Linked DNA regions of Saccharomyces cerevisiae S288C. The gene in region 3 interacts genetically with the main gene of each other region. Each region holds a gene or a part of one and is shown on either strand. Other genes may lie near its edges.

Evidence for each region. A genetic interaction does not mean that the proteins touch.
Region 1: mutations in NCP1 (region 3) and PRO1 are lethal when combined (synthetic lethality), as found in Saccharomyces cerevisiae (one large-scale study listed by BioGRID).
Region 2: mutations in NCP1 (region 3) and JEN1 together harm fitness less than expected from each alone (positive genetic interaction), as found in Saccharomyces cerevisiae (one large-scale study listed by BioGRID).

Annotation. Positions count from the first base shown.
Region 1 is NC_001136.10:1,060,683-1,064,725, forward strand, and holds PRO1 (glutamate 5-kinase), read right to left. Parts: upstream 2,110-4,043; coding exon 823-2,109; downstream 1-822. Other genes in the region: rRNA-processing protein BFR2, read left to right, coding at 1-549; cleavage/polyadenylation factor CFT1, read left to right, coding at 2,670-4,043.
Region 2 is NC_001143.9:20,278-24,906, forward strand, and holds JEN1 (monocarboxylate/H+ symporter), read left to right. Parts: upstream 1-1,956; coding exon 1,957-3,807; downstream 3,808-4,629. UniProt on the Saccharomyces cerevisiae protein: Essential to lactate transport.
Region 3 is NC_001140.6:188,635-193,477, reverse strand, and holds NCP1 (NADPH--hemoprotein reductase), read right to left. Parts: upstream 2,936-4,843; coding exon 860-2,935; downstream 1-859. Other genes in the region: DOG2 (2-deoxyglucose-6-phosphatase), read left to right, coding at 1-673; SRB2 (Srb2p), read left to right, coding at 3,614-3,627, 3,729-4,347; BCD1 (Bcd1p), read right to left, coding at 4,454-4,843. UniProt on the Saccharomyces cerevisiae protein: This enzyme is required for electron transfer from NADP to cytochrome P450 in microsomes. It can also provide electron transfer to heme oxygenase and cytochrome B5. Involved in ergosterol biosynthesis.

The DNA of each region.
Region 1 (4,043 bases), on a different chromosome or scaffold from region 3:
CAAAAAGACTGTGCTAATGGCAGGCTACCAGAATTGATTTCTCCCGTTGTCAAAGATAGTGTTGATGACAATGAGAATTCGGATGATGGGCTTGATATCCCGAAAAACTATGACCCAAGAAGAAAGGATAACAATGCCATTGACATTACCGAAAACCCATATGTTTTTGATGACGAAGATTTTTACCGTGTTTTACTAAACGATTTAATTGACAAAAAGATTTCCAACGCTCACAATTCTGAAAGTGCAGCAATTACAATCACCTCAACTAATGCTCGTTCGAACAACAAGCTAAAGAAGAATATCGATACTAAGGCTTCCAAGGGTAGGAAATTGAACTACTCAGTTCAAGATCCAATTGCGAATTATGAAGCCCCCATCACATCCGGATACAAATGGTCAGACGACCAAATCGATGAATTCTTTGCGGGATTGTTAGGTCAACGAGTGAACTTTAATGAAAATGAGGATGAGGAACAACATGCCAGAATAGAAAATGACGAAGAATTAGAGGCTGTTAAAAACGATGATATCCAAATCTTTGGTTGAATATACATTTATTTTAAATACGCACAACTCATTTAATTTAGGGCTTATAAGTAGATAGAAGGATTTTAACGGATCACAAAAAGTAGCTGTTAACAACTACCTTTTTTTTGAGTTAAGAACACTAATGTGGATTAGGAAGAAACAGCTGCTCTGCACAATTCTTCAAAAAAACAAAACATGCTTAATGTGTCATTATTTAACCTGGAAATATAAAGGTAGTGTTTTATATAAGAAATATCATTAAGGGAATCCTCTATAACTTTTTAGTTCGTTTCAACGAGGTGGGAATGCCAAATTTTCTCTATGAGCGACATATTCGCTGTCATTATAGCCCAATTCCTCTTCGATTTGGTCACTGTGCAAACCTTTAATTTTAGTTAATTCAGAACTCGTGTAATTGCATCTTGCCTTGCCTACTGTTTGCAAGGGAAAATCTGGATCTAACGTGCCATCTGGTAACTTTTTACCAACTTTTATGTCAACACATTCTAACTCATGGAAAGTGCCCTGAACATCAATAACACCTGCTGGCAATAATCCCGCCTTATTTTTCCTTGTTAAGGCTGCGTACGCACCTTGGTCTATAACAACAGCGCCTTTAGAGACAAGACCGTGTAAAATCCAAAACTCTCTATTCTTTAGATGGTGTTTATTATCATTAGCAATGAACTTCGTATGTAGTGGAACGTTAAGAGCCTTTAATTTCTCAAATTCTCTTTTTTGCAAATCCGTTAAATCGCCATTATATGCTTGTTTAACTTTATTTTCATCGTCAAGTTCTAGAGTTTGCATATACTCGACAATTCTACCTATATTCGCAGGTGTATCGCTTTTCATGATCAACGTATGAACACCGGCATTCGTTGCCAAATCTGCAGCAACCAATTTAGTTTCCATACCACCGGTCCCAACGTCAGAACCTGAACCACCAGCAGTATTCACACCGGGCAAACCCTTTGAGAGATCTGGGACAACTAAGATCGGCATGGCATCTGGGTTTGTCCTTGGATTATCAGTATACAAACAGTCAACATCTGTCAGTAAGAAAAGATAATCTGCATGGATTAAAGCAGAAGTAATTGCTGATAAAGTGTCATTGTCACCAAATTTGATTTCTCTAACAGATAGTGTGTCGTTTTCATTCACAATGGGAATAACGCCCATGTTCAACAATTCATTAATTGTGTTTTGAGCGTTCTTATATTGGGTCCAGTCCAGAATATCATTTCTGGTCAATAGAATTTGAGCGATACGTTGATCAAATTGCGAAAACAGAAGATCCCATCTCCCGATCAATCTACCCTGCCCAATAGCTGCGATGGCCTGAACTTCTGCTAAATGTTTTGGTCTTTTATTCATACGCATAGTCCTCAAACCAACAGCAATACCACCACTGGACACGATGATAACTTTGTGTCCCATTCTTCTCAATTTGACTACAGTTTCGACAATAAGCGACATGATAGCTAACTTAGGTTCTTTGGTTTTTTCATCTACTAGCGATGAAGAGCCTAATTTGATCACTATAGTATACGATTTACTCTCATTAGCATCCTTCATTTTCGCGTTCTTATGACTATATTACAGTAGCTGATAAAATGACCTAAACTATGCCTATCTTTGAAGCAACTAGACATTAATCTTGAAAGACCGTTTTGATGGATGAATAATTCATCGAGAAAGCATTAGTTCGCTGATGTAATTTTTCATTTCCTGCCATCATGCGATGTGTGGGTGCTATTTATTTTCAATTCCTTTACCAAGGTACCTGATAGTGTCATAAATAAATAAATTTAGACCAAAATGTAACCATTGATAAGTGAGAGTCTTAAATTTAACATGTTCATACTTTAACTGGTGCTCAACCGATATATTATGATTCACTGTGCCACTGACCAGCCCTATTAGTGACATTTTGTGCTTCCTCATCCCGTCGGCTCCCAATAAGACAACGTAGTAAGTGATCTTAATATAAGGTAAGTTCGAGGTGACATATTTCACAGAGCAGCGTTAAAGCAATCATATGTAAATTGAGGAAGATCACCGTCCCTTGAACACTTCACTGATTAAAACTATCAGGTACTAACCTAGATTCGCTTTTTACTCTAGCTACTGGCCCTATGAATGTATATGATGATGTGCTTGACGCTACTGTTGTGTCTCATTCATTAGCAACACATTTTACTACTTCAGATTATGAGGAGCTCTTAGTGGTGCGAACAAATATCCTTTCTGTCTACAGGCCTACTAGGGATGGTAAACTGTATTTGACTGATGAGTTTAAGTTTCATGGCTTGATCACCGATATAGGCCTCATTCCCCAAAAAGACAGTCCGTTAAGTTGCCTGCTTTTATGCACAGGCGTCGCTAAAATCTCTATTTTAAAGTTCAACACGCTAACAAACTCAATCGATACCCTAAGCCTGCATTACTACGAAGGAAAGTTCAAGGGTAAATCGTTGGTAGAGCTGGCCAAAATTTCCACCTTGAGAATGGATCCTGGAAGTTCTTGTGCCTTACTGTTCAATAATGACATTATCGCTTTTCTACCCTTCCATGTCAATAAAAATGACGACGATGAGGAGGAAGAAGATGAGGACGAGAACATAGACGATAGTGAATTAATCCATAGCATGAATCAAAAATCCCAAGGGACGAATACTTTCAATAAGAGGAAGAGAACCAAGTTAGGTGACAAGTTCACGGCTCCAAGCGTGGTATTGGTAGCGAGTGAGTTGTACGAAGGCGCCAAAAATATCATAGATATTCAGTTCTTGAAAAATTTTACTAAACCAACGATAGCGCTCTTATACCAACCAAAGCTTGTTTGGGCAGGAAACACCACCATTTCAAAACTCCCTACACAATACGTTATACTCACATTAAATATCCAGCCTGCAGAAAGTGCCACCAAGATTGAATCAACCACAATAGCATTTGTCAAGGAACTGCCTTGGGATCTACACACCATTGTACCTGTTTCGAATGGTGCTATCATTGTGGGAACCAATGAACTGGCATTTCTAGATAATACTGGCGTTTTACAATCGACAGTATTATTAAACTCATTTGCTGATAAAGAGTTACAGAAAACAAAAATTATCAACAATTCTTCATTGGAAATTATGTTCAGGGAGAAAAACACTACGTCAATTTGGATACCTTCGTCCAAGAGCAAAAACGGAGGAAGTAATAATGACGAAACACTACTACTTATGGACTTGAAATCCAATATATACTATATCCAAATGGAAGCAGAGGGCAGGTTACTGATTAAATTCGATATTTTCAAGCTACCTATAGTCAATGATCTTTTGAAGGAGAACTCCAATCCAAAATGTATAACACGTTTGAATGCCACCAATTCAAACAAAAATATGGACTTATTTATTGGGTTTGGTTCAGGAAATGCTTTGGTTCTCAGATTGAATAATTTGAAATCTACCATTGAAACAAGAGAAGCACACAATCCATCTTCAGGTACAAATAGTTTG
Region 2 (4,629 bases), on a different chromosome or scaffold from region 3:
AATGTGGTGCCGCGGTAACAGTAGCATCACACAGAGCATGAGAAAAGCAAGAAAAGTGGAAGTCTGTATGTCACATTTTTATTGAAAATGCTATTTGCTATAAGGTTCGCTATTCAACTGATTGAACCGAGATAGACAAAATGTTAAACTTTTCATAGAGACGTTATTGTGATAGGGTTTACGCTGAGAATGGTTGAAACATACTTGCTAATAAACCACGTCACGTCAAAATATCAGTTTTTCTTTTTTAGTTATTCCCTTCTCACTTTTGACTTGAGATGAGATCGTTACACTTTTATTGAATACGAACGGATCACGATACATCCACATATACGAATGTTCGGCCAGACAGGGCATCAGAGTATATACCCTTTTTCCTAAAATGGAAGGGCCCTAGATCGTTGGCATCAGCGGTTACCTAACCGAAGTGGATCAAATCAGCGCCTATTTTTCCGTTTAGAACGATTAGATGCCGTCAATATGTATGTGCTTACTGTATCATCCACGTAGTAAAGCTGGGGCGTAGCATCCCTAGGTTACTTTCTCAATACTGGGGTCCCTGACCAAAGATAAAACATAACCTATTATGGCGTACGAGTCAAAGTTAAACGCTATTTGACTCGGGCAGCATGCATGACCCGGGGGAATGGAAAACTTCTCATGGCTACCCCAACGAAGCCAGACAAGATCTAGGAGATGTCTCCACCTTCCGAGCTACACTCTCACATCTCTTACATAGACACTGTGAAGTAAGTGATTGCACACAATCCAAAGAAGCACATCAAATAATATGTAAATATTACCCGTACAAATGGCAAATCATGTCCACTTTCCCGTTAGTCATCGGGTGGGCCGGTCCTCGCACTTTCCTTTTGTTTCGGATGTTAATTAATATATAAATGGATCTATAATTTTCAAAAGGTATAAACGCACAGTATGAAAAATATTGCAAGAATAATGTGTTTATAAATTATTTTTTTTGCTGGTAGCAAAATCAACTCATTGTCTTCCATTCAGAGTCTAATCGAACGTTATCGCAATGCTTGCACACTTTTAAACAATACGATTTAGTTTAAGTGGATGGACCCCCACGCTTAGTGTTCCACAGGTTTGTCCCCACTGTTTTTACATTCCACTGTACATTTTTGCAATAGAAGGTCATTGTATGCTACCTTGGGCGGCTAAGAATACCTGTAAAAATTTGGAGAAATTAGATTCGTAAAGAATGACTCGCAACGACTCCAATGATTTCTTCTTTTCACCCTTTGAACGGCCGATATCCGCGCGGGATCCTGACCCCGCAATTTACTCCACTAGACCGGCGTGTTTCTCTTTTTCCTTTTCCTGGGGTTAGAGCCCAAGAGCTAATAGCCGACAAACGGACTCCAAAAAAAAAAGGAGGCACAGGACAAACGCAGCACCTGCGTCATTCACGCTGAAGCGGCAGCAAGCATTTTCGATCAGCTCCAATTAAATGAAGACTATTCGCCGTACCGTTCCCAGATGGGTGCGAAAGTCAGTGATCGAGGAAGTTATTGAGCGCGCGGCTTGAAACTATTTCTCCATCTCAGAGCCGCCAAGCCTACCATTATTCTCCACCAGGAAGTTAGTTTGTAAGCTTCTGCACACCATCCGGACGTCCATAATTCTTCACTTAACGGTCTTTTGCCCCCCCTTCTACTATAATGCATTAGAACGTTACCTGGTCATTTGGATGGAGATCTAAGTAACACTTACTATCTCCTATGGTACTATCCTTTACCAAAAAAAAAAAAAAAAAAAAAAAAAAAAAAATCAGCAAAGTGAAGTACCCTCTTGATGTATAAATACATTGCACATCATTGTTGAGAAATAGTTTTGGAAGTTGTCTAGTCCTTCTCCCTTAGATCTAAAAGGAAGAAGAGTAACAGTTTCAAAAGTTTTTCCTCAAAGAGATTAAATACTGCTACTGAAAATATGTCGTCGTCAATTACAGATGAGAAAATATCTGGTGAACAGCAACAACCTGCTGGCAGAAAACTATACTATAACACAAGTACATTTGCAGAGCCTCCTCTAGTGGACGGAGAAGGTAACCCTATAAATTATGAGCCGGAAGTTTACAACCCGGATCACGAAAAGCTATACCATAACCCATCACTGCCTGCACAATCAATTCAGGATACAAGAGATGATGAATTGCTGGAAAGAGTTTATAGCCAGGATCAAGGTGTAGAGTATGAGGAAGATGAAGAGGATAAGCCAAACCTAAGCGCTGCGTCCATTAAAAGTTATGCTTTAACGAGATTTACGTCCTTACTGCACATCCACGAGTTTTCTTGGGAGAATGTCAATCCCATACCCGAACTGCGCAAAATGACATGGCAGAATTGGAACTATTTTTTTATGGGTTATTTTGCGTGGTTGTCTGCGGCTTGGGCCTTCTTTTGCGTTTCAGTATCAGTCGCTCCATTGGCTGAACTATATGACAGACCAACCAAGGACATCACCTGGGGGTTGGGATTGGTGTTATTTGTTCGTTCAGCAGGTGCTGTCATATTTGGTTTATGGACAGATAAGTCTTCCAGAAAGTGGCCGTACATTACATGTTTGTTCTTATTTGTCATTGCACAACTCTGTACTCCATGGTGTGACACATACGAGAAATTTCTGGGCGTAAGGTGGATAACCGGTATTGCTATGGGAGGAATTTACGGATGTGCTTCTGCAACAGCGATTGAAGATGCACCTGTGAAAGCACGTTCGTTCCTATCAGGTCTATTTTTTTCTGCTTACGCTATGGGGTTCATATTTGCTATCATTTTTTACAGAGCCTTTGGCTACTTTAGGGATGATGGCTGGAAAATATTGTTTTGGTTTAGTATTTTTCTACCAATTCTACTAATTTTCTGGAGATTGTTATGGCCTGAAACGAAATACTTCACCAAGGTTTTGAAAGCCCGTAAATTAATATTGAGTGACGCAGTGAAAGCTAATGGTGGCGAGCCTCTACCAAAAGCCAACTTTAAACAAAAGATGGTATCCATGAAGAGAACAGTTCAAAAGTACTGGTTGTTGTTCGCATATTTGGTTGTTTTATTGGTGGGTCCAAATTACTTGACTCATGCTTCTCAAGACTTGTTGCCAACCATGCTGCGTGCCCAATTAGGCCTATCCAAGGATGCTGTCACTGTCATTGTAGTGGTTACCAACATCGGTGCTATTTGTGGGGGTATGATATTTGGACAGTTCATGGAAGTTACTGGAAGAAGATTAGGCCTATTGATTGCATGCACAATGGGTGGTTGCTTCACCTACCCTGCATTTATGTTGAGAAGCGAAAAGGCTATATTAGGTGCCGGTTTCATGTTATATTTTTGTGTCTTTGGTGTCTGGGGTATCCTGCCCATTCACCTTGCAGAGTTGGCCCCTGCTGATGCAAGGGCTTTGGTTGCCGGTTTATCTTACCAGCTAGGTAATCTAGCTTCTGCAGCGGCTTCCACGATTGAGACACAGTTAGCTGATAGATACCCATTAGAAAGAGATGCCTCTGGTGCTGTGATTAAAGAAGATTATGCCAAAGTTATGGCTATCTTGACTGGTTCTGTTTTCATCTTCACATTTGCTTGTGTTTTTGTTGGCCATGAGAAATTCCATCGTGATTTGTCCTCTCCTGTTATGAAGAAATATATAAACCAAGTGGAAGAATACGAAGCCGATGGTCTTTCGATTAGTGACATTGTTGAACAAAAGACGGAATGTGCTTCAGTGAAGATGATTGATTCGAACGTCTCAAAGACATATGAGGAGCATATTGAGACCGTTTAATCACTTTTCATTGCTCTCTAGGGCGTGTTCGCTTCTCTATGTAACTGCATTTCACATATATTCATATTATAGCCTTTATAACATTACATAAAAGACATGATATACGACATACTTTAAAGTTAGAATTTTTGTTGTATTAATTTTCTCGAAGGGATTAGAATGTAAGTACATTTAAATAGCGCCGCAAGAAACATAACAGCCGTTAACACTAGCAAGATGGTAGATTACTGTGTCTAAGAATTTAAATTGTTTTGCTTGCTTTTGCCACTATAAGACAATAATAGTAATAGAAAAGAAATGTTAGTCGAACAGCAAATTGGTAAAAGTGGAAAAAATTATTTCGTTATTCATTTTAGGCCGTTCAGAAATATAGCATTTTGGTTCTTGCACTGAATGGGCCCTGAGGACAGTGTGCGGCTGGATAGCCATATACTTCGACATTACTTTTCACCTTTGAAGGGGGATGTATGCTTATACACAATCAAAGCTCGGCCTGTGCAGGTTTCACTACATAAGCTTTTTTACCATAGAAATCTTGCAGAAGGAAGTAAGTATCAAGATATTACGTATCGCATCCATAGAACGATAGCAGAAAAATGCAGTATATGATAACGATATGCTTCACAGCTGCGGCCCATTTGGGGAAAAAAGGAAAAGGAGCATCCTCGATCTTACAGATGTCGCTTTTTCCTCTTGAGGTCATTCCCTAACCTTGGATCCAAGTCAATCTGGTATCTTCCCACCCTAAATAGTGTATTCCCCATGTAATAAGATCGGACGATAAACTTCGAAACAATTCTAGCCTTTTTTATTAGATATTTA
Region 3 (4,843 bases):
AGCGGAAAGTGCCTGGAAAAAATTATGCCGTCAGCATGGGGTTGATCCTGTTGAGTTATTCAAGCATTCCCATGGTGCAAGATCACAAGAAATGATGAAGAAATTTTTTCCAAAATTGGACAATACCGATAATAAAGGTGTTCTTGCGTTAGAAAAGGATATGGCAGATAATTATTTGGACACAGTAAGCCTTATCCCTGGTGCAGAGAATTTATTGTTATCGTTAGATGTAGATACTGAGACTCAAAAAAAGTTACCTGAAAGGAAATGGGCTATCGTTACCTCTGGTTCTCCATATTTGGCATTTTCATGGTTCGAGACAATATTGAAAAATGTTGGAAAGCCCAAAGTTTTCATTACTGGATTTGACGTGAAGAACGGTAAGCCTGATCCCGAGGGTTACTCAAGAGCTCGTGATTTATTGCGTCAAGATTTGCAATTAACTGGTAAACAGGATCTGAAGTATGTTGTCTTTGAAGATGCACCCGTGGGCATAAAGGCCGGCAAAGCAATGGGCGCAATTACTGTGGGTATAACATCCTCGTATGATAAGAGCGTTTTATTTGACGCAGGTGCAGATTATGTGGTCTGTGATTTGACACAGGTTTCCGTGGTTAAGAACAATGAGAACGGTATCGTTATCCAGGTAAACAACCCTTTGACGAGAGATTAAATAAATAAGGACATCGCAGAAGCACGAATATATAGATAAAATTGTATGTAAAAGCAAAAGTTGAACTGCGTATGATTTCTTATAGTGAGTATGAAATTTTTTTTTTTTTTGGTTATCTAACTTATTTTTCTTTGATACAGATCGTGTGGTTGAACAACCGCGCCGAAGGCTTGATCAGTGGGCTGATTACCAGACATCTTCTTGGTATCTACCTGAAGTCTTGAGCATCTTGATTAGCTCTGTTGCTTCATCAGTGGTAATGGATTTACCACGGGATAAGATGCCAACCAATGCGGTTGACACACCCTTGGCCATACCCTTTGCATCACCACAGACGTAGATAAATGCACCGTTGTTAATCATTTCAAATACTTGGTCTTCGTAATCCTTTAATTTATCTTGAACATAAACTTTTTTGGTGTTTGGCAACCTGGAATGGGCCACGACCATTTCGAACGAACCATCCAATTTTTTGGCGTATTCTGGCCATTCGTCCTGGTACAAGAAATCATCAGTGTTACGGGATCCATAAAACAGTATATGCTTACCTAGCGAAACGTTGTTACCGCCCTTCTTTTGTGATTCGAGGAACGCGACACGCTCTCTGATAAACCCACGGAATGGGGCAACACCGGTACCTGGACCGATCATGATAACTGGGGTGGAAGGGTTGGAAGGCAATCTGAAGTTAGAACGACGAACGTGGACGGGCAATTTGTAATTGGCGAAAAGTTTACGTGGGCCATTTAAATCGTAGTGAACAGGTAGGTTAGTTTCGGCAATGTTAACATTGTTTTGAGCCAATTGAATGTTTCTTAACAAGTTAGTCGTAACACCAACAACTGGAGGAGCATCAGGCAATTCTGGGTTAGGAAAGTTTTCCACAATGGAGGTGACATGGACGGTTTGCTTTTCAGACAGAGAAGAGGAAGAGATAGAGTAGTAACGAGGAGTCATTTGGGGAACTGATTCGACCAAGAATTGCATGGGTACGGTGTCCCATTTGGCGCCATCAGACAAATATTTCAGAGCATCTGCGATGTTGAAATATTTGGAGGTTATCTCGACGGCGAATTGGTCCTTGTCTTTCGAAAGCAGAGTCAATTTTTCCTTGACGTCAGCGTTGGGGGCGAACTGAATCAAAGATGAAAACAATTGTCTGGAGACAGGTCCTGTAATTTCCAAATAGTGTTTAATAGCAGCGCCAATAGTAGTTGGCGTTGGGAAGGGCACTTTGACGGTGGGATCCAGGGGCTTCAAGTCAAAAATGGTTTCAGGGTCCAGGTTGAATATGGATAAGAACTGTTCGACCTTTTCCAATGGGTTGGAAGGCCAAACAGCAAGATGGTCACCAGTGGAGTACTTGATGTTAGAGCCGGACAAGTCAAATTCAGAGTGGATGCAATTACGGTCATTGGAAGAGAACAGTTCGCGAGATTTCACGATGGGTGCAATATACGGTTGAGACAAATCGAAGGGACCCAATTGGATGCCGTCTGCGTTGCGGTTCAACTGATGCGAGGGCAAATAGTGAGCAGAGGGTTCACCAAGCGACATGGAGTCAGTGATTTCGTTCAACACAGTGTACTGGAATTGAGAGGTGAACTTGGCTTCCTGTTCGTCCAAATGCAGTTCGTCTTTCAAAACCTCCAGGATGGAGTCCTTCCAGGCCATGTAATCTTCGTCTGTAGTTCCTGCACCATCATCAGCTTCACCGAGCTTGCCTAGTCTGATAGCGCCCGCGGCGGAGAGATGCTTCTCGGCCTTCTTGGCGGCACCATTAAAGAATTCATAAGTAGAATTTCCCAGACCAAACATATTATACCTCAGGTTCGATAGTGCACCCGCTTCCGCATTACAAATAAAGTCTTCAAAGTTGACCGCCCCGTCGGGGAAGTCTCCTTCACCATATGTAGAGATAAAAATCGAGACTATGACGGGCACATCGTTTAGCGACTCAAAGTCGTAGTTCTCAACATCTGCGCACATCACGTTTAGGTTGAACTTGGCCACCAGCTCCTTGGAAAACTTTTTGGCGTAATCCTCGGCAGTCCCAGTCTGCGACGCATACAACACCAAGTAGTTCTTGTTGTTTTCGGTCACCACCTGAGCAATGTCTCTGTTGCCCGAGCTGACAGCTGTGATATCTCCGTCATCGGACATCAGCAGTTCCTTGATGGAGTTTCTCTTTACGTACAGTAGCACGGCAAGCACTAGCCCCGCCAGGACAGTGAAGTCGGTGTTGTCTATTCCAAACGGCATGATATGTGCGACAGTAGATCACTTGAAAACCGCGGTCGTTGTCTAGCGTAGCGGTGACCACTACAGGAACGCAAACTTAAGCTACATTGTTCACCATATTATACTATATATATAACCTCGCGCTGAGCTTTACAGGTGCGTTTGTCCTCGAAGAACGAAAAGCAGCCCGAAAAAAAAATGCAAAACGATAAAAGCTGGCTGGAGAACAATAGCGGGTTGACCGCTAAACGAGCACACACGTGATGTGTCGTGAACTGTGATCGTGGTAGTATGATGCTAGTATGTAGTGATGGCTGCATGGTACCAGCGGTGACGTTCGGTAGACTCTACTCTCCTTTGTTCCCCCGGTGTGCCATCTTTTGAGTTTTGCGTGCGTTATCTACTGGGAGCAAGGGTCTGGCTCGTACGCATAGAGGCTGAGGACGAACAGTGTGCGTTTGCAGGCGTGGATATAGAATACATAGCTATATAGATGGGTAGTGCGCATGGGAAAGTGCAATTGAGCGAAGGAAGGGGCAGGTGGACTGTAGATGTCGCCGCGTGATTTTATCGTTGTTTCTCTTCTTGTGTTTTCTTATGCGTTAGTATGCCAGTTTCGCGGTGTGATTCCCAAAGTGAAATTTTACTGGAAGAGCAAATCTTGTAAGTCGGCGCTCGAAAGCACAGTAGCAATCCATCATGGGAAAATCAGCGTATGTAAAGCTGGAGCGTCCTTCGTGGCGCATCGGAATTTCTTCAATTGAACTACCTGTTGCTAACAACAGTTTTTTTTTTCTCTCTTTTATGTATATAGCGTTATATTCGTGGAAAGAGCCACTCCCGCTACACTAACGGAACTGAAGGATGCTCTCTCGAATAGTATCCTGTCCGTGCGAGACCCTTGGTCGATAGACTTTCGGACGTACCGGTGCTCTATCAAGAACCTACCCGCGGATGTCTCCAAGCTCATGTACTCGATAACGTTCCACCACCATGGCCGGCAGACCGTGCTAATCAAGGACAACTCAGCGATGGTGACGACTGCCGCAGCGGCGGATATCCCTCCGGCGCTGGTGTTCAATGGCTCATCTACGGGCGTTCCTGAGTCCATAGACACTATTTTGTCGTCCAAGCTGTCCAACATCTGGATGCAGAGGCAGCTCATCAAGGGTGATGCCGGTGAGACGTTGATCTTGGACGGGCTCACCGTGCGACTCGTCAACCTCTTCTCCTCCACTGGGTTCAAGGGTCTCCTGATAGAACTGCAGGCGGACGAAGCGGGCGAGTTTGAGACCAAGATTGCAGGCATCGAAGGACACCTAGCTGAAATCCGGGCCAAGGAGTACAAAACCTCATCCGACTCGTTGGGGCCGGACACCAGCAACGAAATATGTGATTTGGCGTACCAGTATGTTCGTGCTCTGGAGCTGTGAGTTCTTACGAATGCTTTTTCTTTTTTTTTTTTTCTGTTTGTATATTGCGGTGTATACGTATAGATAGATAGTCTAAATAGTAATCTTCAACCTTATGTATCTCGGCTCATGCAGTGAGGAAATCCATGGATAAGCCCGGATTGTAGTCATCGTCGCTGTCGCTGTCGCTGTCGCTGGCGTCCTGTGTTTCCTTCTGTACAGGTTCTTCTGTCGGTTGAGAGTCCTCTTCAGCGTCTTCCTCCTCCCTTGCATTGTCAATAAACTTGTTCAGTGTACTCGTATGCTCAAGTGGGCGGGGTTCCTGGTGTAGCACCTCGTAGCCCTCTGGTAGGTCAGCCTCTGTCATGGCAACGAATATCGTGGGAAACTCGATCACTGTGGTGTTCTTCAACAATTCTCCGATGCATTTCTCATGTATAGCCAACTCCACCAGTTTTTTTGAATCCATTATATGCGTGGTGTTGTAAGGGAACGTTTTCGTGTAGAATTTGAGCCC